5 linked regions of the Neurospora crassa OR74A genome follow. Each later gene encodes a partner of the first gene's protein in a complex. Links are inferred from orthologs where the notes say so. Each region holds a gene or a part of one and is shown on either strand. Other genes may lie near its edges. The genes, in order: NCU01746, NCU10467, NCU02687, NCU04548 and NCU08427.

The links.
Region 2: NCU01746 (region 1) and NCU10467 share a complex: the UniProt entries of both Saccharomyces cerevisiae proteins name them as parts of the CTF18-RFC complex. The link is inferred for Neurospora crassa OR74A from reciprocal best matches to the Saccharomyces cerevisiae genes CTF8 and RFC4.
Region 3: NCU01746 (region 1) and NCU02687 share a complex: the UniProt entries of both Saccharomyces cerevisiae proteins name them as parts of the CTF18-RFC complex. The link is inferred for Neurospora crassa OR74A from reciprocal best matches to the Saccharomyces cerevisiae genes CTF8 and RFC2.
Region 4: the proteins of NCU01746 (region 1) and NCU04548 are in contact, whole or in part, in a cryo-EM structure (PDB 6S2F), measured with the Saccharomyces cerevisiae proteins. The link is inferred for Neurospora crassa OR74A from reciprocal best matches to the Saccharomyces cerevisiae genes CTF8 and POL2. Residues at the interface, in NP_012061.3 of Saccharomyces cerevisiae: Glu40, Lys87, Gln88, Arg128, Leu130, Pro131, Met133; in NP_014137.1 of Saccharomyces cerevisiae: Arg1025, Met1036, Leu1037, Glu1038, Glu1040, Asp1041.
Region 5: NCU01746 (region 1) and NCU08427 share a complex: the UniProt entries of both Saccharomyces cerevisiae proteins name them as parts of the CTF18-RFC complex. The link is inferred for Neurospora crassa OR74A from reciprocal best matches to the Saccharomyces cerevisiae genes CTF8 and RFC3.

What each region holds. Positions count from the first base shown.
Region 1 is NC_026502.1:2,561,659-2,565,547, forward strand, and holds NCU01746 (hypothetical protein), read right to left. Parts: upstream 2,166-3,889; 5' UTR 1,893-2,165; coding exon 1,359-1,892; 3' UTR 986-1,358; downstream 1-985. Other genes in the region: NCU01745 (SPX domain-containing protein), read right to left, coding at 2,544-2,642, 2,708-3,889. UniProt on the Saccharomyces cerevisiae protein: Essential for the fidelity of chromosome transmission. Required for the DNA replication block checkpoint.
Region 2 is NC_026505.1:3,556,223-3,560,518, forward strand, and holds NCU10467 (replication factor C subunit 4), read right to left. Parts: upstream 2,474-4,296; 5' UTR 2,365-2,473; coding exon 2,261-2,364; intron 2,190-2,260; coding exon 1,969-2,189; intron 1,869-1,968; coding exon 1,120-1,868; 3' UTR 881-1,119; downstream 1-880. Other genes in the region: NCU01294 (hydrolase), read left to right, coding at 1-530; arg-4 (arginine biosynthesis argJ), read right to left, coding at 3,069-3,096, 3,157-3,435, 3,491-4,296. UniProt on the Saccharomyces cerevisiae protein: Component of ATP-dependent clamp loader (RFC and RFC-like) complexes for DNA clamps, such as the POL30/PCNA homotrimer and the checkpoint clamp DDC1:MEC3:RAD17 complex.
Region 3 is NC_026501.1:3,202,922-3,207,208, reverse strand, and holds NCU02687 (activator 1 41 kDa subunit), read left to right. Parts: upstream 1-1,531; 5' UTR 1,532-1,706; coding exon 1,707-1,819; intron 1,820-1,892; coding exon 1,893-1,971; intron 1,972-2,055; coding exon 2,056-3,027; 3' UTR 3,028-3,228; downstream 3,229-4,287. Other genes in the region: NCU02688 (ubiquitin-conjugating enzyme E2Z), read right to left, coding at 43-72; NCU02686 (hypothetical protein), read right to left, coding at 3,294-4,287. UniProt on the Saccharomyces cerevisiae protein: Component of ATP-dependent clamp loader (RFC and RFC-like) complexes for DNA clamps, such as the POL30/PCNA homotrimer and the checkpoint clamp DDC1:MEC3:RAD17 complex.
Region 4 is NC_026507.1:1,474,895-1,480,097, reverse strand, and holds part of NCU04548 (DNA polymerase epsilon), read right to left. Parts: coding exon 247-5,203; intron 1-246. UniProt on the Saccharomyces cerevisiae protein: Catalytic component of the DNA polymerase epsilon complex which participates in chromosomal DNA replication.
Region 5 is NC_026502.1:4,031,842-4,036,105, forward strand, and holds NCU08427 (activator 1 subunit 3), read left to right. Parts: upstream 1-1,445; 5' UTR 1,446-1,576; coding exon 1,577-1,710; intron 1,711-1,771; coding exon 1,772-2,415; intron 2,416-2,478; coding exon 2,479-2,870; 3' UTR 2,871-3,140; downstream 3,141-4,264. Other genes in the region: NCU10392 (hypothetical protein), read left to right, coding at 1-1,032; NCU08428 (MFS transporter), read right to left, coding at 3,141-3,478, 3,543-4,050, 4,117-4,264. UniProt on the Saccharomyces cerevisiae protein: Component of ATP-dependent clamp loader (RFC and RFC-like) complexes for DNA clamps, such as the POL30/PCNA homotrimer and the checkpoint clamp DDC1:MEC3:RAD17 complex.

The sequences.
Region 1 (3,889 bases):
CAGCAAGTGTGGACAAGCCGTCGCCATTGACGAAGTGGAGATGAGAGTGAGTTGGAAAAAGGGGACCATCAGGGATCCATACCTAGGTAGGTAGCTTCCACTTCCCTATAGGTCTCTGGCGGTTGCGTGGCCCGGGACTCGGCCCTAACTGGAACTGAAGCGGGAACGAAAATGCGGGCCATACGAGCGTCGGGCAATGGATCATCACTACCTACAGGTATTGTTGCAGTGGTGATCCCATCAAGGGAACTCTCGCGGCAACTTGGAAGCAAGGGAATTGTGCATTCCCACTGAAAGCGCCCGCGCCCCTAGCAGCCAGTCAGAACCCGCTGTGGCGTCTGCTGCAGCATCCCCCACCTTTCAGTGGACAAATTTGACAGCTCCAACGACACCGGTTGGCGGGGCACCATCTTGACTTGCCTCGCTTGCCTCGAGCTTGCTTTGTTGATCCTCTCATGTTGACACCCCAGCTGGTCTTTTTGTCGTTCGACATGTGAAACGTGAATGAACAACGGTTTGAAGCGAGTCTACACTACGTTCAAGGCTTCAGGTCATCGGAGACTGGGGCGGGCAAGTGGAAGTCGATAGGATGCATCATCTGATCGGAGCCTCCAAGTCTACCTACTAGAATACACTAGCGAGACCTGGACTAGGTACCTCTAGGTAGTGTATACAATGATGACAGAGATGAAGCTATGTCGGACTTGGGAAGGAGCAAGCTGAGCTACACCGGTGCCTCACACCACCTTACACCGGTAGACGCCTTCACATTCTTTTTCCGCGACGAACCGGCCTCGAACTGCAACCTCATTCTTCACACATATCATTCACCGCTCTCGTCCTACCTATCATGGTATCACAGACTGGATCCAGACCCAGGATCCAGGGGACCTCGTGACCTCTCGTGCTTTTTTCATGGAGGACCCTTCAAACATTAGTCAGGAACCACAACGCCTACCTACTTGTATTGAGCTGCTAAAAAAAGTAAGATAGAAAATGAAAAAATTTGGGATGGGAAGGAGACAAAGGTCATATGACACCTTTTTATCTTCCATCTCTTCAAAGATAAACGTAGCACCAGAAAAACCGAGCTATATTAAAGACCACATGTAACGGAGTGTGAGGGGGGGGTTATAGGTATATCCACTATAACTCGTCAAATTCCCTCTGTCATCTTCAACTTCAGCACCTGTGTACCACACCACCCTCCTTTCATAAAAGTAGATAACAAAGCTACCCGTGGTGACTGTGAGGTTGTTCCATGGCCTGAACCTTTTTTTATTCCCTTTCCTGAGGAGCTATTCCTAACTTTCGCCACCACCAACCCCCTCCTCCACACCCTCCCGTCCTTAGTAACCCTAGGTCTGTTCAGAACCCCGTCCAATGAACTGCTCCCCCCTAGTAACCGGCTCCGGCCTCGTCCCAAAAACAATCTTGTACCTTATAATATCCAACACCTCCAACTCCTCTTTCTGTTCTTCCTCCTCCTCCTCCTCCTCCTCCTCCTCCTCCCCGTTCACCCCCTCCCGCTGCCGTACCCTCCTCCTCACAACCCCCACCGCCTTCCCCAGCCCCTTCACCTCCCCATGCAACCGCTGATGCTCGCCAATGTACATATACACCCTCTTCATCCACTTCTTGTCGTTGGCGTCAAAGGTGAGGGAGTTGGGCTGGTAATCGGGGAAATCGATCCTCCCTACAGGGATTGGAGTGATTTGTTCTGTAGAGGATGGGTCAAAGTCGCGTATGTTGAGAGTTCCTTGGAGTTCGAGGAGGGCGAGGCCCGTGGGGGTTTGGATCAGGGTGGGGAGTGGGTTGGTTGCACGTGTTGATGAGCTTGAGGAGGGCGATGGTTGGAGAGGACGAGGGTGGAGAGAAATTTGCGATGACATATCTGCTGGCAGTGATTGTGTGATGTGAGTTCTTGTTGTTGATGATGGTGGGTGATGTCGTTGATTGTTGATTGTGATTCCCGCCTGATTGTGATTTTCCTTCAGCTGGTCGATCTGATGACGAGGGCTCGTTAAAGCGACGCAAGTGAAAATCTTAGCAGGCTGGCCGTCGAGTGGTTGAGCTTTCCTTCATATGACCACCGTCTCGAGTCTGGGGGGAATGATCACGGTGATTGTTACGAGTTTGTCAAAGGCGCTGGTGAGAAGTTGTTTGCATGGAATTGCCGTCCAGTTCAGAACTTCAGTCCATTTACATTTTCCAGAGCAACAATGGTCCGTGCGCATATCACAAGAGAGAGAAAGAGAGAGGGACATGTCCCCTTTCCATGGCCGTCAACATGTTGCCGATTCAACTGCCCTTGCATACTGATCTTGATGCTTCTAATCATGCCAAACTGTATGTATGCCTACTTCAACATAATCCTCGTCGAGACATTCTTCTACTCAACCATCGTCCACACGCCAGACCCCCAAATCATGCAGTCATAACCAAGTTTGTTTTCCGTATCCAATCTTTTGTTACCCCTTTGTTCATCAAGCATGAGTTTCTTTTCTAGTCTCACGTCAATCGACCAAGCTCTACATACACCACTATCTCAGGTCGATGTGACTCGCCGATGAGTTGCTGCTTTGGATGAACAGAGCTTCAATCGCAGCTCTAGCCTGAGCTCTAGCCAAGAAGTCGCGATACTAAAGTCATGTAGTCAGCAATTACTCTGTACCCTGACTGCTCAAAAGACATCTGGAAAACTTACCGCAAAGCTAAAGTTCAAAATCAGCGCTACCATCAGTGCCACACTGATCACCAATGGGCCAAAGAAGTTGTCAAAGTCCTTGCCGCTCCGTTCAATGATCATCTTCCTCCTCGAGTGCAACAAGAAATACCCCCAGCCACCGGCAAACGCCGCAATGATGATGAACCCAACCGCAATCCACTCCGCCACCGTGCCCCTGCCCGCGGCTGTGTACAAGCTGATGGCCAAGCCGCCGAGCAGCACGCAAATGTGCTGCCACTTGAGGAACGTCCGCTCGTTGGCTAGCCAGACCTTGGGCTCGATCTGCAAGGGGCCTGAGTTCTTGAGCCACTCGGTAGGCTCCTCGACGCCGGGCGGCAGGGTCACGGAGCCACGGCGGCCGCCTTCGCCCTGGGCCCGCTTGAGACGCATGGCTTTGGAGTACTTGGAGAGAGAGAAGCCGGGGAAGACGGAGGAGAGGGTCATGGTGCCGTACTCGCTACGGCCCCCTTGTTGCTGCCCGCCATCCTGTTGCTGGCTGCTGCTGCTTTCGTTGAGTTCACCGGCCGGAGTGACAGCGGTAGGGGTCCTGTCTGTCGCCCCGGAGGCGGGGGTTTGCGCTTTGGCGCCGCTGCTCTCGGCCGCCACCCGCTCGGCGAGGTATGACTTGGCCACTGGAGAGCTCCGTGACGGCTTGAACGAGTTGCCTAGTTTGGTTCCGAGGAAACTGCCGACTACTTGCTCGTTCTGTGCACGGTGGGCTCGTTTCACCTCCTCCTCCTCGAAGGCCACTTGGGGATCCTTGCGGATATCGGTGTCCAGATCGGGCAGCCAAAAGGGCAACCTGTTGACGTAGTCCTCGAAAAGAGAGGCGACGCCTTGCATGAACTTGGAAAAGCGAGGGCAAGGGTGGACCAAATGCGAGGCCATCAGGTCCGTGACCCAGACAGGTCGCTTGCGGTTCTGGTCTTCCTTCAGCTTGATTTCCAACACTGCATAGGGAAACAGCGACACCTCGCTCTGGTTGATGTTTTTGAAGGGATAGGTCATGTTGCTGTCGTCGATATCGGTACGGTGCCAGTTGTTTGGATCACGGCACGGCCTATCGCGGTCGAGGGTATCCTCGCGAATGAAGGCAATGTCGGTATCGATAGACAGGCGAATGCGATCATCTCCGGGATTCTGGAAGGCCGTTCGGACGTA
Region 2 (4,296 bases), on another chromosome or scaffold:
ACCCCAAGATCCCACCATCGTTCAATTATCCTCCACCCCCAGTCCCGCAAACGCCCCAATATACCCCTGTTTCTTATGCCTCGAGTTCCCGCTCATCGAGCAGAAGCAGGCAGGCTTCTTACACGAGAAGGGGCAGTGAGCAACGCACAGTTCCGTCAACTCCGAGCACCCCCAGCCCGACAACGCCGCATCATTATCACCAGCATCATGTGCTGCCCGCTACATCCTATGGTAGCAATAGCCATGTCCAGCAACCACATAAAAGAATGCCACAGGCTGTTGGTATTAATGATCATGACGATGAACCCGAGGCGTTTTACGGGCGAGGACCGGTAATACCGGTTGGAGGAATGACGGTAGGGAGAGATAGTAGAGGTCGAAAGATATCTACCCAGCAGCAGCCGTCTAGGAGGACACACTCTGTTGACCCTCATCGCCGGGAGCCTGCTGCCGAGAGGGGACGCAACGGTGGGGCTAGGGTCAACGGGAGGTATTATCCTCTGGATTTGTTGTCGCCTGTTTCTGTGTGAAAGAAAAATATTAGTGTTGGGCATCTCGAAGAACTTACAGATTGCGATAATCTCCTTTTCTTTTTTCGGATGTGTTGTGAATGAGATTGACATGTTGAAATTGTGTCGATGAACGACTTCTTCTGTTACTCTTCTTGAATGGAGATTTTTGAGGGTTTGGACGGGTCTGGAAAATATTTACACACTGTACCGGGCAACCGGGTTGGCTATATAAATTGGAAAGTAAAAGATTCAATGACGGCACCAAAAGTTCACATGCCATGTTCCATATACCTACTACCTTTTTCTGGGTAAATTGCACATCTCACGAGGAACGACGCATCCGGATATTATCCACTCAATGGAATCCTCTACACTTCATGCTCCGCTGCCGGCTACACCGCAAATGCTACATGCTAACCATCTATACTCCTTTCTCTGTAGTGCAGTATGCTATGCCAGTTGACTAAACATCAAAACCAACGCCGAGTAAACAATTCAATTCATAGCTTTCGCTCGGGTATTATCTTTTATGAACCTCATTATTCCTGCCCCAGGATCACCCCCTTCGCAATTTTGTTTTTCTTTTCTTCGCGAAGCCCCCCCTTATTCACTTCTTCGGTACCGCAAACTTCTTCGGATCCATGTTCAACTTACATAACCTCGCCACGCACCCGCTCAACTGCAACAGTGTCTGGACGCCCTCCAAAATCTTCATATGCGTAAACCCAATCTCCTTGATAAACTCGAGCTTAGCGTGCTCGCTCAGCGTCGGAATCGTCTTTGTGACCTTGAACATGGTGCTGATAATATCATGACTGGAATACCCCAGGTCCCACAGCTCCCGCAGCCCGTCCAGAGCCGCATCAACATTACCCTCGTAGCAGGCCTTGAGCATCGCCTGCACCTTGATCGGGTGCGGGCTATCCACAACTTTAAAGACATTATCCCCGCTCACGAAGCCGAAGCCGGCGTGTGTAGATTGCAGGTTATTAATCGCCTGCCGCATGTCTCCCTCGGCGCTGAAGACCAGCGCGGCCAGGCCGTCGTCGCTGTACTCGACTTTTTCGGCTTCGATGATTTGCAGCAGGCGTTTGACGACTTGCGCGTCGGTGAGCTTGGCGAAGCGCAGGATTGCGCAGCGGGATTGCAGAGGTTCGATGATCTTGTTGGATTGGTTGCAGGCGAAGGCAAAGCGCGTGGTGTTGGAGTAGATTTCCATTGTGCGGCGAAGCGCTTGTTGGGCGCCCGAGGTCATGCTGTCGGCTTCGTCGAGGATTACGATCTTGTGCCGACCTGGGGGGAGGGTGACTTTCTTCTGGGCGAAGCCTTTAATGCGCTGGCGGACTACTTCAATGCCTGTTTGTTTTTTTGGGTTGGTATGTCAGTATGGGGGGGTTTTTGTGTTGTTTGGCGTAGCTCATAGCCACAGAGCTGGATGCTCTTGTCCTTTTCTAACCTCGCTCGTCACTGGCATTCAACTCCAGTACCGCCTCCTTGTACGCATCACCTAGTAATTGCCTTGCCAGACACAAAACACTCGTCGTCTTGCCGATACCAGGCATGCCTGAAATAATAAAATGGGGCATGTTGCCCTCCTTTGCGATAATCTTGAGGCGCTCGATCGTTTCTGTGTTGCCGACCACATCGTCAAGGAAAACTGGTCTGTACTTTTCTACCCTGTTCGTAACTGCTGGTCAGCCTGATGCCCTATGGAGATCGAGAGTTCATTGAATCCTGATTAGACTCACCATGGTAGCTCGTAGGTCGGGGAAGAGCTTGCGGAGACCGAGGTTGCAGCCTTGGAGATGGAGGTTGAGGACTCGCCCCTCTCTTCTGCTTTGGCTGATGGCATTCTGGGTGGACAATAATCGAAGTTTTCTTGTGCGGATGGCCTGTTTCAAACCCCCAGATTTCTAAGTATTGCGATCCTCGATGTGTTGTTTGTTGGTTTACGATTTCTGAGCTGTCTGGAGGAAAAGGTCAGTGGAGCGGCGCGACGCGTCGCGTTTATCGATTTTAAGTGGTTTTGCATGGGTCTGGCCGAGATCGTCATACCCTAACCCTAGGAGTGCTTCTAGCAAACTCTCAGTGTCCGACCTTGTTCGTTTGTCTTGATGGGATAAAAAAAACCAAAGAAAAAAAAAATCCAAAAAAAATCGTGATGGCTCCTTCGGACTTGGAGGTTTTGAAACTCTTATTAGACTAAGCTTCTGTTCAAGCCAGCGTTGAGAAGAGCTTAGTCTGACGTTGCCACAAACATCTATCCAGAGGCCTTTGGCAGCACATCCCTTCGAGTAACTCGACAAATGTGCGTGCTTTCCCATTACAGGATTCGCTACCTCCATGCTTAAGTTGCGCAAACCACCCTCAAAGTGTATTACGGAGCGTAGTTAGATCCGAAATGTGTGGTCGGGGTGGCGGGCGACGTGTGCATATCATGGAAGAGTACGAAATAAAGAAGGGGAGGGCACAGAGTATGGCATAAATGAGCTTTTTCTATCCTGTCTACCTCCGGGTATCCTCCCCAAGTACCAGTAACGCCTTATCAGTGATTTCTTACGTGCGGTAGTCTCCATTAATGGTACTATTCAGATCTTATGTCAGCAGTCGTCACCCAAACTCGAATGAGGGCGGATCAACTTACATGTACTCGTGGCTGTAGTCGCAAGTCCAGTAGGTAGCCTGCTTGTCACCAGTTCCGAGTCTGACAAGGATCTCAAGGTCCTCAAGCTCGAGGATCTCAGCAGCACGAGCCTCATCAACCTGCTCGGGTTCGCCGTTGACGAGCAACTTCAGCTCAGCAGTGCCGTCAGTGGGGATGAAAGAAACATTGGTCTTTTCAGGGACAACCTCAGAAACATCGTTGACGGGAAGGCCGGGCTCAGAAACAAGGGAGTAACCAGTAGCGCAGAGGATACGGCCCCTAATGACAACGTCAGTAGCTGCCGAAACGCATGGGATAATTTTCCGCAACTTACCAGTTGGCATCCTTGCCGTAGAGAGCAGTCTTCACCAGGGGAGAACGGGCAATGGTGCTGGCAATTTTCCTAGCGGCCTCCTCGCTAGCAGCTTCGACAACGCGGATAGTAACAAACTTGGTGGCACCCTCGCCATCACGGACGATCAGCTTGGCAAGGTCGGTAGAGAAATCGGTCAGGACAGTCTGGAAGGCATCGTAGTCGGGAGTGTTGGCAACGACTTCCTTTCCGCCAGCAGCACCATTGGCAAGCAGGGCAACGGTGTCGTTGGTGGAAGTGTCGCCATCGATCGTGATGCTGTTGAACGAACGGTCGACGGCGTGCTTGAGAACGGCGGGTAGTACGGTGGAGGAAACGGGAGCATCGGTGGCGATGATACCAAGGAGGGTAGCCATGTTGGGATGAATCATACCAGCTCCCTTGGTCATGCCGGCGATGCGGTACTCGACTGAAGGAGAGGAGGGAAGCTTGAAGGACCGGGAGATGAGCTTGGGGAAAGTGTCGGTGGTGCAGATAGCCTTGGCAGCCGTGAGCCAGTGATCGTGGGTAGAGCCCATGGCCTTGTGAGCCCGGGGGATATTGCTGGTGATCTTTTCGATGGGCAGACGCTGACCGATAACACCAGTGCTCATAACGAGAGTGCTCTCGCTCTGGCCAAAGCACTCATCGGCGGCCTGGGCCATCTTGCCGGCATCCTCCAAGCCTCCCTTACCAGTGACGGCGTTGGCGCATCCCGAGTTGACAACGACACCTTGAATACCCTGGTTGCCCTTCTTCTGTAACAAGCTACGACTGAAAGTAACGGG
Region 3 (4,287 bases), on another chromosome or scaffold:
GGTGCCGGGACTGGGAATAATGCGATATGTTGACAAACGAACCTTGGTGATGCGAAATACAGATTGGTCCATGGTTTCTGACTTGGAGCTCACCAAGTCTTGGTGGAAGATGGAGGGTGGAATGGACCACTCGAAATCGCGAACGTCGACCCCACGGGCAAAGTAGTAGTAAACAGTAGGCAGTTTGGCGGGGACCGTGATTGGGCGACGTGAAGAAAAACACTGGCGGACAAGTCGTGCGAAGTGGTCGATGAAGGAATTACTCTGGAGATTAAATGGCCGGGTAGCTGCCGACAAGGTAGTAAGGCCAAGTCTTCGTTATGCGGATGTTTTGTTGGAGGAATGATGAGTGATGGCTTAAGTTGTATTTTCTGTTTCCCATTCAGGTAGCAGTCGGTGGTTGAGGTGAGAAGTAGCGAGCGAGACGACAACACCAAGCTGAGTTCAGGCAAGAAGAGGAAGTGGTAAGGTTGAGTGCGGGGCAGGGCAGAGTTCAAACGAAAGGAACTGAGTGAATAAATCCAAGGCAAGCAAGCGATTGGTGCACTCAGTAATGCACAACGTACTATGTAAACTTGCAAGGTAGAGGTAGGTACTGTTGTGTGTAATTACAACCTTTCCAGCGTTGGTCAAACTTGTATTTGCTTTTTTGTTTTTTGCTTCTCAAAGCAATCAATGACAGTCTATCTCTACTTCGAGGTGGCAACCAAAGAACGAAGGATGAAAGCGTCTCTGACTACTTGTACGTGCCGTGTATATTATACGCTGCCGAAGGTATCCTCGTGCGTGCGTAATCAGCATCGATCAATATCAACGAAAGCAACATGGAGGGTTCCGTTTCCATTCATTCTTTTATTCCACATACCAGTTCAGGTACTTTTTAGTGTGAAGCAGTGTCAATCAGTCACATCCCGACAACTTGGGGCACCTGGTGGTGGGCTGCTACATACCATTTTCAAGGGTAGCCGCCCCGCATTTGCAAGTGCAAGATGCAGGTGGGTTGCAGCAACGAAATGCCAGAAGTGGAATACCGTACGAGACTGGAGCTTACAGTGCGATGCCTTACCACACGACAGGGCATAAACATGGAAGACGGAAGCGGGCAGGGTGATTGATATACCTGTTTGAGCTTTCATATGTCCCAGCGTTGACGACATCGGAGGTCCATGATTCGAACCCCGCATCCATTGTCACTACGTTGTAAAATCAACATGTGTGGTAAAACGGAAATGTATGATTTTCGGGAGAATACAGAAGCAAGTTGGAAAGAGGGAGCCCTGGATCCCCGGCTGCCCGGCTCCCCGGTCCCGTCTCCGTGTCCAGGGCAGTCCGCCTTGTTGTTGGACGTGGAGAAGCTCCAGGCACCGACGGGACAAAACCCAACATTCGGAGCTCTACCCAGGTAGCGGACGGCCCCGGGTGGGAGGGGGCTAGGAGCTAGGGTCTTGCGAGATCCACTTTAATTGAAGCGGCTCCACAAAAGGAAACGCGCCAGACGCGGTCTCTCTTCCTGTGATCGCGTAAAGTGCTGCTTGGAGTTCTACTTTACTATCACCATTCTATTACGAGCTCCCCTCAACAATAGATTGTTGCGACACCTTGATTGACGACAGCGAGACGCTCACCCAGTACCCACGTTCTCTCTTTTCTTGACATTCAGGAAAACGTACCCTTCGCAACTTTGCTGGCCAAGATCTATTCCTATCATGGCAAGCTTTTTCGACATTAAGGCCAGGAAGGCGGCCGCTGCAAATGGCACTCCAAACCCGGAAAAACAGACAAAGGAAACTCCCAGGGCGCAACCATGGGTAGAGAAATAGTATGTCATGCAAGGGTGGTCAAGTTCAATGCCGGCAGTTCAACCAGCTAACCTCTGACGACTTCCTCGACAGCCGTCCAAAGACCCTCAGTGATGTCACAGCCCAAGATCACACCATTACCGTCCTCCAAAGAACATTACAGGCTTCCAACGTTTGTCAAACCTGCTTATTTCCCCTTCGTGTCTCTCTCAAGTCAAATTTGGACAGCCACTGACCTGTGTCGTCAACCCTCCAGCTCCCACACATGCTCTTCTACGGCCCTCCAGGAACGGGCAAGACCTCGACCATCCTTGCTCTCGCCAAGGAGCTCTACGGCCCCGAACTCATCAAGTCCCGCGTCCTAGAGCTCAACGCCTCCGATGAGCGTGGTATCTCCATCGTCCGCGAAAAGGTCAAAGACTTTGCTCGCATGCAGCTTACCAATCCCTCCGCGGCTTACAAGGCGCGCTACCCATGTCCGCCCTTCAAGCTTATCATCCTCGACGAGGCCGACAGCATGACGCAAGACGCCCAGAGCGCACTGCGCCGCACTATGGAGACGTATTCGAAGATCACCCGCTTCTGTCTTATATGTAACTACGTCACTCGCATTATCGATCCGTTGGCGAGTCGTTGCAGCAAGTTTCGGTTCAAGAGCCTCGACCAGGGGAACGCCAAGAAGAGGCTGGAGGAGATTGCTCAGCTCGAGGGTGTCGGGCTAGAAGAGGGAGCTGTCGATGCGCTGATCAAGTGCAGCGAGGGCGATTTGAGAAAGGCGATTACGTATTTGCAGAGTGCGGCAAGGCTAGTTGGTGCCGTGGCAGCCACAGCTAAAGACGGGGAGCAAAAAGAAACCGAAGGCGACGACGAGATGGAAGTGGACGCCAAATTGGTTACGGTCAAGGTCGTGGAGGATATCGCTGGTGTTATCCCGGACGATACCATTCAGAGGTTACTCGAAGCGATGCGGCCCCGCGCTGGGGTGGATACGTACCCTGCGGTTGCCAAGGTGGTCGAGGAAATGGTGGCGGATGGTTGGAGCGCTGGGCAGACCATGACGCAGCTCTACCAGGCGGTGGTTTTCGACGAGATGATCCCGGATGTGCAGAAGAACAAGATTGTTATGGTGTTCTCGGAGGTGGATAAGAGGCTGGTGGACGGCGCAGACGAACATCTGTCCGTACTCGACCTGGCGCTACGGATATCGGGTATCATGGCTGGGAGGTAACGGCCAAAGCTTAAAGAGTCTGAAAGGGTACGACAGAAGCAGATGGTTCAAAGATAGGCGACATATCACTGGGTTCGGAGTTTCGGTTTGGGCAACAGAAAATGGCAGGTCATTTACATCGCACTACAAGGTCATATTTTGGTGTTTCTAGTCCTAGACTTCTTTCTTGACAAATGCTTGACAATGGTCTTTTATCCCTGGCACCTCGCCCACCAGTTGTGTTCCGAGGTGTCTCCCGTCGCAACACACGATAGTTATGGCTGCCTCTACCCAGACTTCTCTAGTCCTACATGCACATCCACCATATTCCACATGCTCAAGCTCCCTCCCTCACGGTGACCAATTGTCTCCTTCCCCTTCCTGCCTCCCTCATCGTATCTCGTCCCAAGTCCCGATCCACCAGTTGCATTTGTGATTTTCAGCGATTTCTGCCCTTCGACAAGCCATATGTCAGATTCCTCGCCCACCTCATCATCATCGCCATCATTATCATCATCATTACCCTCCTCCTCTCCGCAAGCCGCTTTAACCGGCTGCTGTCGTTGCTGCTGCTGCTGCTGCTGCAACCCACGTCCCAACAACCGATCAGCCTCGCCTAGCATGCGAATTGCTCCCTCCAGCGCTATCTGCCCTTTCTCAATTTTCTCCACTACCACCTCAAAAGTTGCGATCTTGGCCGAGTCGGCAGCTGATACCCACGGGTTGACTAGACGCGATGACATCATGGCGTTGGGGTCATCGTCCTGTTTCTTCTTCTGCACTACTACTGCCGTGGCGTGGGCGGGTATCAACTGGCTTTCTTCCACCAGGTGATCCAGCACCTGGGCGTTTTCCCTCAGCTGCTTGGTGAGGAGGGTGGTTACGTGGGCCTTGTGAGCCATGAGGCCTTTATGTTCGTGAGAGAGGGTGAGGAGGCGGGTGAGGGTTGGGGTGAGAAGGTGGTCTATTATGGGAGCGGGTGTAGACGCCTCTGCTGCTGCCGCTGCTGCTACTGCTTGTGTTGAAGATCGCTCAGGAGATGCCGCTGAAGGAGAGGAGGAAAAGGCAGTGATGGCGGGGAAATCAAGGGACGGTAGGGAGCGAAGTTGGGTGGTGACCAGCTCTAGGAGAGCTTTTCGCATGGAGAGATACTCGGCGTATTTTTCTTTGATGCTGGTGAGTTGTTGCTTAAGGAGTTGGGTTTTGTGTGCGAGCTGTTGGTCCCGTTGGACTTGGAAGTCATCTTGTCCAGCCCTTTCTCCTCCTCCGTCTTTTTCCTCT
Region 4 (5,203 bases), on another chromosome or scaffold:
AAACAAGCACCTGCATTGCAATGCCAAAGGTAAACATACATACGGACAGGGTAACCCTCATGGACCTCGAACGCCTCTACGGTAGATTAACACCCAGGAAAGCACATCACAACCCCCCAACAACCCCTTCCACCACATCCCCCAACATCCTCAACCCATAATATCTCGCCACATTCCTATACACCTTCAGCCGTCTCATCACCTCCTCCCTCTTGACCAACTCCCTCCATTCTCCACTGCACGTACAATGCTCCATGAACTCATTCACCCTCAGCGCCCCGCACTTGCCGCACTTGAGGTCCTGCGTCGTCCACTCCACCACCATGGCCTCCACCTCCGCCACCAGCCTCTCCTCAATCTCGTTCCTGTCGTAGTCCATTTCGCAGTAAGGGCATTTCCACCTTCCCTTTTCTTGTCCTGGAGCAGCTCCTTCCAACTCGCCGCCGGCCGCTCCGCCTGCTGCTGACACGTCAGAAACGGCCGCCAAACTCATAAAGTCCTCGTCTCGACAGAGATCAATGTCCCTAGCCATGGTACAGTTTTCGCAGCTGAACTGGGCCAGTTTCAGACTTTCCGATGGGTTTTGGAACGCGCCGTCCTTGCTGAACTCGCGTACGTCGAACATGGCGAGGAGTTCCTTGCGCAGCAGCCGCGCTTCGAGCGTGATGTTCTTGTCCAAAGATAAAACCTGCATCAGGGCCTTGACCAGCTCAAGCACCGGATTGGCCGACGCTGCTACTTTCTTTCCTGCCGCGTTCTTGGTATTACTCGACTTGGCATTGGACATAGACAGGTGAGACAGGTGAGATCCCGGTAGTTGGGGAAATGTGTAATCGCCTGCCAGCTCCGGGTGCAGGAGCTCGCGCCTTTGCGTGTTGATGAGGTTGGCGATTTCCTTCTTGAGAGGCTTCTCGAACGCTTTGCCCAGGATGATTTGCCCGACGGCGCCGTCCTCGCCGAGATTGCCATTGCGCATGTTGACGGGCAGTTGGGTGAGACGTGGCGTGGCTGTTGGGTCGCTGCCAAAGGAGGGTCGCTTGATGCTGTGCATCAGCTGGATAAACTCGACGACCCAGTCGCGGAAGATGGGCTGCAGACGGACAGGGAGAAAGGTTGCCATTTGCCAGTGCATAATCATCTGCAGGTCCTGTTCGTCCCGCTCGAGCACCTCTTGTGTCGCCTTGCCGCCGTAGTTGAACTCGTCATACCATACCAGGTAGTCCCAGTACTCCTTGATTTCGAGGTCGATAAAGTGAAAGAGTGGTTTGCCCTTGATGCTCTTGAGAATGTACTGGGTATATGCATACGCATTTCCAACCTCGGACTTGGTGGTCTGGAGGAGAAGTCTGTTGGAGCTGGCAAAGATGACCTGCGATCCTACGCGACGGAAATCGGCCATGAGCTGGAGGAGCGCCTTGCGGCTCATCATCTGGACATAGTAATGCAGAGCACGATCGTACAGGCACGAGGCTGGCGATTCGACCCAACGGACCAAGTGCTGAACCATCACGTCGGCCATCGTGGACCCCTTGCAAGCTTCCGCCCACCATGATTTGACCATCTCACGGAGCACCTGCACGCCAGCATTGGCAAAAGCGTTCTCCGAATAAAGAAATTCTTCGCCGTCTCCACTACCGGTTGCATCGGCGGCGGGATTGAAAGATATGTTATCCGCACCTTCCAGCTCATTGATGAGCGAAGATGTGAGAATGGTGTTGATAGCCAAGTTCCGCACCTCAAGGTCTATACACACCGAAGCATAAGTGCCGGGATTGTTGACGGACGGCATCTGAACCTGATCGAGTGGGCCAACCACATCGTCCTTCTCATAACCAGCGTGGTCGGGGCGCGGACTCGGTGACCACCAGAGCACGACATTGTTGGCCATGAGCCGGCGAGCATATGCGATATCGATCAGGAAACGGGGATCGTCTCGCTCCAGGTTGCATAGCGGTACGTCGCCGTACCGAGCAAGAGCCGTCATATGGGTGATCCAGGAACCCAGGCTGAGGTAGTGATTGACCAACCGACGGGCCACCACACTTTGCCAGCCTAGTGGGGGCAGTGAGCTGTCCCCTTGATCATATCGCAATGGCATCACAGGGAATTCCCCCAAGATGGGAATCTCATGAACCAATAGATTGCGCTGTGAGGATTGGATGACCACCATGGTCGGTCCGGACTCTTCCTTTCTCAGTTTCTTGACAATGTCGCCAACCTCAAGGAAAGCTTTCCGGCGGGTGGTAACTTGGGTGATCTTGATATTCAGCTTTTCCTGGTACGGGAAACACTCTTGCCACTCCGCTCCAGCGGCCTCCTGATTCCTCCTTGCCAACATGTCGGCATAGAGCTTGTTGATGTTTGGCAGGTCTTGCCCTCCATCCTTGGTCCTCTGCTGGATGATGACGTGGGCTTGGTCACTGGTGGTGGAGAAAAGACCAAAGATCTGGCGCTCACCAGCGCTAATGTGGGAGAGATAGATGTAGGCCATACGGGCATCGCCCAAGTACTCTCTCGGCTTGAGTGGTCTCTTCAACCCGGACAGGTCGAATCCTTGGTCAAGACCCTTTCCAAGTACACCAGGTTGGCTTTCGTCGATAGTGCAAAGATTTCCCAGCTGAAGAAGGGCGCGCATGTTGAGCGGTAGCTGTTTCTCATACACGCCTTCCACACTGGGATGGTTGAATAACAGAGAGAACTTTTCTGCTTCCGCAAAGTAGATGTCCTCCGGCACCGTAAGCTTGAAGAGATGCACAGAAGAGTGGCCATTAGGCAATGTATGGTTGACCTGTTCAACATGGCAGCCTTCAACTTCAATGTCGGGCAGTTCCCTACTCTTCAAGTTCAAGAATACTTGCCGGGGCACGTTAATCTTGAGAGTGTGGATCTTGGCATCGATCAGCACATGGGCAACGACAATGCCTGGACTGTCTGATGCCCTCAGCTGCAGCAACTGCCAAGTGTTTCGGAATGTCATCTCAGCCTGACTGCGGAACGTCTGCTGGATGTTGCTCTGCGCGTTGCCACGCCTTTCGCCAAACAAGTGTCGCCTACGAGCCCTTGCCTGCTTCTGGAGCTTCCACTTTTGCTTCTGGTACTCCAAGAAAGCCGCGTAATCCTCGCTAGGCGACGGCATCTTCTTGGGAAGCGCCGCAAACGGGTCCAGGTTCTCGGCTGCTGCTGGTTCCGGATCCTTGCGTTTCTGAGCCGTCACCGTTTTTTGCGTGGCGGAAATAGCATCACTGACAGTCTTGGGCTTCAGCAAGTTCCCAAAGTCCTCCATATCTCCAAGCTGGGTGCCGTTCGCAAGGTGGGTGATATCTTGCAGAGGGCCTTTGGTGGTAGGCCCAAACAAGTCCGTAAGCTTCTTTTGCTTCATCTTATCGTCTTTGATGTTGATCCTCCGCTGCAGCCAGTCCGGATGCGGCACGCGCGGTACCGGGTTGCGAACTTTTTGCAGAGCGGCTGGGATGGTGATGAGCTTCTGGATGACGGACCCAAGACGTTCGAGATAGTAATCCCAGTCAAGGAGTGCTCGAGGGTCGGTATCAGCAGGCTCCTCTTTGAGCCATTTCTTGAGATACATCCTCTTCGTTTCTTCTTCGGCAGAGAAGATGGCAACCGGCACGGCACGTTCGGTGACCGGGGCATTCTTGGGTCGGGCGCAAATGATAAACTTGCAGTTCAAACCCTTGTCTTTGACCATTTGCTCGCCCAAAAAGTCGGCAAGGCGCTTGGCTGTGGTGATGGATGTTGACTTTTGGCTTCCGTACTCCTCCAACGTCTTGGTCATGCTGCGATTCTCAGAAATCAGTTCCATAAGTTCTTCATCCGCAAGCGTTGCACCCTTGCTATGCAGTACATCAAGCCAGCGGTTAGCGACCTTGGCGACAGCATTATAGCATTCCGCCAGGGTGGTACCCTCCAGGAAAAACTTGAAGATCTGCTGCTGGAAAATCTTGATGAGCTTCAACTCGCCTCTTCGCTTCACTTCGAAGCCCTTGAGCTCCGCAAGACTGCCATCGTCATTGAAGACGGCATATCTCTTCTTCAAGTTCTTGTCTTCTTCTTTGGAGGTGGGTAGGATCATGGCCTTGTACGGCCCGTCGACTTCGAAGAAGATGGAGTTGTCGCTGTGCGTCTCGTATTTGAAGGTCTTTGGATCGACCAGAGTCTGGTACTGGTGGTTGGTGAACTTGTCATGGACCAGATGGTTCAACATGACACATGGGTACGAGATGGTCATTTTCTTGCCATTTTTGAGTTTGAACACAAAGTTCTCTGGGAATGTCGCCGGCAACATGCACCAGATACCATCAGTGTCTAGCTCGAGTGGACGACCCAGTCGCTCAATGAGCTGTCTCGCCAACTGGATAATGGTTGCGCCCGTCAAACAGGTGACACCGGCCATTTCCATCGAGTACCATCTAGATCCCTTTCTCATGACGTATCCGTAGAAACTGTTGAGAATGACCTTGTGGGCCAACTGCAGGGAATCGAACAAGATAATCATCTTTTTGGCATTATCGATTTCGGACGCGGATGCGCCCGAGCTCTTGAGCGAATCCGTCTTGCCCTTCCACACCTTCGCCTTGCCCTTGTAGTCGTATCGTCGGTCACGGAAGTCACGGACTGTGTTGATGTAGAAGGGGTTCTCGCGCTGGCAAATGATCGCTTCTCTGACAATCGTGGTGGAATCGTGGATCTTGTGGTACACCTTTTGTGAGTAGAGCTGCAGTCTCTTTCGGATGAGAGTGGCTTGTTCGTCTGCGCTCAGGTCTTGGAATGACCGCATCGGGCTGTTTGGGTATTTTCCTGGAAACCTCTCGTTCTCGAGTGCATGGCGAATCATGTTGTACTCGTCGCGCTTGGCTGGCAGGTACTCTCCTCTCCAGGCCCACGGTAGTCTTCTGTCACAAGTCTTTCCTGGGCGGTTGAAGTCGCATGCTGCACAAGTTGACTCGGAGATCATGGAATCGGGTTGTAATCGGTTGGTTGTCATAATGTTGGGGTACATGGAGGCGACATCAAGATGGTAAATGAGCGGCCGTTCCAGTCGATTGGGCGTCTCTTTGAGGTTCATCAACCTGGCCGTTATCTGCTCCTTGACCTCGTCGTAGTTGGCGATATCACTCAACTCCTTCTTCTCTTCAACCGTAATACTGAACGTTAGGGCTGCATCAAGATCCCGAATCAGCTCATC
Region 5 (4,264 bases), about 1.5 Mb from region 1:
TGGACCTACCAGGAGCGTATTCTGTCCCTGCGGTATATGTACTTTGTCGATGACACGGTACACTTCCAGTGTCAACAAGCCACTTGGAGCGAAGACTTTGCAGCCGAGTGTCGGGACCTGGACTTGACCGCCGCTGACCAAGTGGTAAACTTCAGTATTGTCCCCAGTGAAGTTCCTCCCACGGTTGAGTTGCGGCCTAATTTGCAGTTCCAGCTCAAGCGATATCCCGAGCTGGTAGGGCAATACACATGTCGCAATATGACATTCATAACCGACCGCGTGAATGGAATCCAAGGTATCTTGAACGTGATCAAAGATCATTTCTTTTCTCAGAATGTCGAGTTTGTGCACGGGATGCCCACGGGGGAGCTCCTGCATCCAGGGCTTCTTTGGCGACCACGACGGGAGCCGAAGAGAATCCATATGGATGAGAAGACAGAAAGACCCCTGTGGCCAAGTTGGGCATGGGCCGGGTGGACTATACCAGTCTACTACGACTCGGGTGCTGACTTTTCGGCCAACAGCACTGGTCGATATCAAGCAGAAATCAGCCTTGGCCCGGACCCCTACTTTTTACACCTGAAGGCTCGCGTCGCTCGGTTCAGACTCATGATTGAGGACCGAGGCAATGAGGATGCGGTCCCTCCACTACCTCGGGTCCGGCCAACACGGTTGACGCGGTATGCCATCACACATGCGACACATCCTGAGGGAGGTGATCACGAGTGGATTGGATCCATATGGTTGTCGTGGTCCCACCGAAGAAAGTTCGTTGAACAACGGTTGAGTCTTATTTCGAAGGGTACACACGAGTTCATTCTTCTTTCAGACGCAGACAAGTTCGAGCAAGAGGAACTGGTGCAAGCGGCAACAGCCGAGAAGAGAGCCGTGGTCAACGTCATGATGATCGAACGAAAGGATGATCCAAGGACGGATGGTCGGGTTCGCATTGAGCGTGCGGGTGTGGGCCGAATGTACAGAGATACCTGGGATCGAGTTGAAGATAAGTGGGAGAGGTTTGAGTTGGGATGAGACGGAGTGATGAGGCTGGTAGCCAAAGGAGTCACTTGGTCGGGCATCCTCAATATTGGCGTCCCGACCCAGAACTGGAGTGGGAACGTTGATGTGATTGGTGGTTCAATTTCATTGGAAAGAGAGCAGTAAACTTAGTTCACTAAGAGAAGAGGATGTCCACATGTGAAGAGATTCCATCCTAGAGAACAAGGAGAGTGAAGTGAGGGTGAGCCTTTGAGGTTGTAAAGTTGAAGTTTTCAAACAGAGACCATGGATGAATGAGTGGAAGAACAGTTGAGCTTCATTAAACTGTGGCTGGGGTACCAATACTCCACTAACCGTGTGTGGCTCAGCGCCCAAAACCAATTAACCAGCCACACGAGGGGCCTGTTGCCCGACGCGTCTGTCCTTCCTCTCGACGCGTTTTCCCAGCTTCACTTTCCCGGCCTCACCAAGTAAAAAACACCACCCAACCATAAAGTTCACGTCGGCGCAAAACCTCCAGAGTAGACTTCAGATCACATCAGCCTCGACATCAGCGACCCAGCCCAATTCTACCACCATGTCGGACTTTGAAGACGAAATGGACATTGATGTCCCAGTGTCCAAGGACGTCATGTTCGCTGCCACCAACACGGCCAAGGGCAAGCGAAGCGCTGCCAACCTGCCTGTTGAAGCAGAAGACAGTCTCCCATGGTAGATATTGCCCCCCATATGTCTTCATATGCCTATCAAATATCTAACCAGCCTGTGACAGGGTCGAGAAGTACCGCCCCGTATCCCTCTCCGATGTGTCTGGCCAACAAGACATTCTCGCAACCATCAACAAGTTTGTCGACACGAACCGACTCCCCCATCTCCTATTCTACGGTCCCCCCGGTACCGGAAAAACATCGACCGTTCTCGCCCTGGCCCGACAAATCTATGGCGCCGCCAACATGCGCCAGATGGTGCTCGAGTTGAACGCTTCCGATGACCGTGGTATCGACGTTGTGCGCGAGCAAATCAAGACCTTTGCCTCCACCAAGCAGATCTTCTCCCTCGGCTCCTCCTCTTCGCGCTCGGGGCTGGCTGGTTTCAAGCTTATTATTCTCGACGAGGCCGATGCTATGACGTCCACAGCGCAGATGGCCCTCCGTCGCATCATGGAAAAGTACACGGCCAACACTCGCTTCTGCATCATTGCCAACTACTCCCACAAGCTCAGCCCAGCCCTCCTGTCGAGATGCACACGGTTCCGTTTCAGCCCTCTAAAAGAAAAAGATATTCGTGTCTTGGTGGACAAGGTCATTGACGAGGAAAACGTCAAGATTCTGCCAGATGCTACCGATGCGCTGGTGCGGTTGAGCAAGGGTGATATGCGTCGGGCACTAAACGTGCTCCAGGCTTGCCACGCGTCAAGTAAGTGGTGGTGTCCTCGTCTCGCCTTCTGTTGCGGGCCTCAAGCTAACCCAGGTCAACCAGGCACACCACTCCAACCAAAGAACGCCCCCAAGATCGCCGAAAAGGACATTGTACGGGAAACCATCACCATTCGAACCATCTACGACTGCGTTGCCGCCCCACCACCCGACGCCATCAAAAAGATTCTCAGCACACTTTTGAGCACGAGCGACGTCACAACCTGTCTGTCGACTATCAACACCCTCAAGGTTGCACAAGGTTTGGCCCTTGCCGACATTATCACCGCTCTGTCGGAAGAGATCGTCAAGCTGGAAGTCAAGCCGCAGGTCATGATCACATGGCTTGATGAACTTGCCAAGATTGAGCATCGGGTAGCGAGCGGAGCCGGAGAGGTGATCCAGACTGGTGCGGTAGTGGGTGCGATACGGAATGGTGTAGAACTGATGGGATAGGGTTGTTGTTGTTGAGACTCAAAAGCAAAAAGCTACTCGGTGTTGTTTTGTCTGCATCTATGGTTCGGAGTTTAAGCATCTGGCGTTTGGGCAATCGATCAAATTTTACCTTCTTCGACTGAAGTTACCAACTCCTCATTTCCACCTTTTATATTATGCCCCTTTCTTCCTACGGCAGGGGGATATCACGACGGAGAGCTACAATACGGCAAGAAATATAGATGGATAAGTAATCACTATTCATCGCGAGACTAGCTAATGATATCCAGCTTAATAGATGTACCTGAATCCCGCTGCTCTCCTATCACCCGACGCCGCAACAGCCGCAGTCTCTGGGTTCTCAGCCTCTTCCGCCTCGGCCCTCTCCAGCTTCTTGTTCTCCCATTTGTGCAGGTAGCGCAAGAACAACGCCAACAATCCCACAAAAAGGCAGATTACAGAATTTGCACTACCTCCAGGTATGTACTGTGGCGCCGCCGAAGCCGGGTACATGTATGACCCGTAAATACTCGCTGTGTTTCCAAACATGTTGGCAATAGCCACAGCAGCCGAGCGCTTGACCATGGGACGAGGGAACGAGTTGGCAACCCACGACAGGATGATTTGGTCTGTGGGTCTGTTAGTCCTCACCTTCACCAGGAACTACGATAAAGCAACGAAAAAACCACTCACAAGAAGAAACTGCTCCCATGGGCATCAAGAACATGGCAAAGAACCGTGCTCCCACCTTGGTCGTGCCCGTCGCCACCGCGTTTCCCACCGCAGCCAGCAGCATCAAGAAGAAGATATGCAAACTGCGATCGCCCGTCTTGGAACTCGTCCACGTCACACAGACGGAGATCAAAAAGGTCGCGAACCACACGGGAGCCGTCAACCACAGCGTCTCGATCGTGCCGTAGCCGAGAGTGCCCACGATGCTGGGGAAGAAGTACTGGAACGTCTGGCTGAGCAGGGACAAGTGCTGCAGCAGCACAAAGAGATACAGCCGGTAATCCCTGAGCGCGAGCTTCAGCCCGTCCCAAACCGAGCGACTGTTTTGGTCGTCCGACTCGTTGATATCAGCCAACAGGCGCCACGAGGCATACGCCCGCTCTTCTTCGCTCAACCAGCGCGTGGTGTTGGGATAATCGGGCAAGACAAACGCAGCGGCGACGGCGACGGCGACAGTGATTGTTCCTTCCTGTTTTCGTCGTCTCAGTCAGTCCTCACCCATCCCTCACCATCCTGTAGCAAGGGAAAAACTCACAATGATAAACAACCACCGCCACCCACTCACCCCCCTCGCCCCCTCCAAATTCCCCAACACCCCCGCCCCAATCACGCCCCCAAACATATTCGCCAACGCATTCCCGCTATAGAAATACGCCATCCGCTTCGTCAGTTCCGCTCGACTA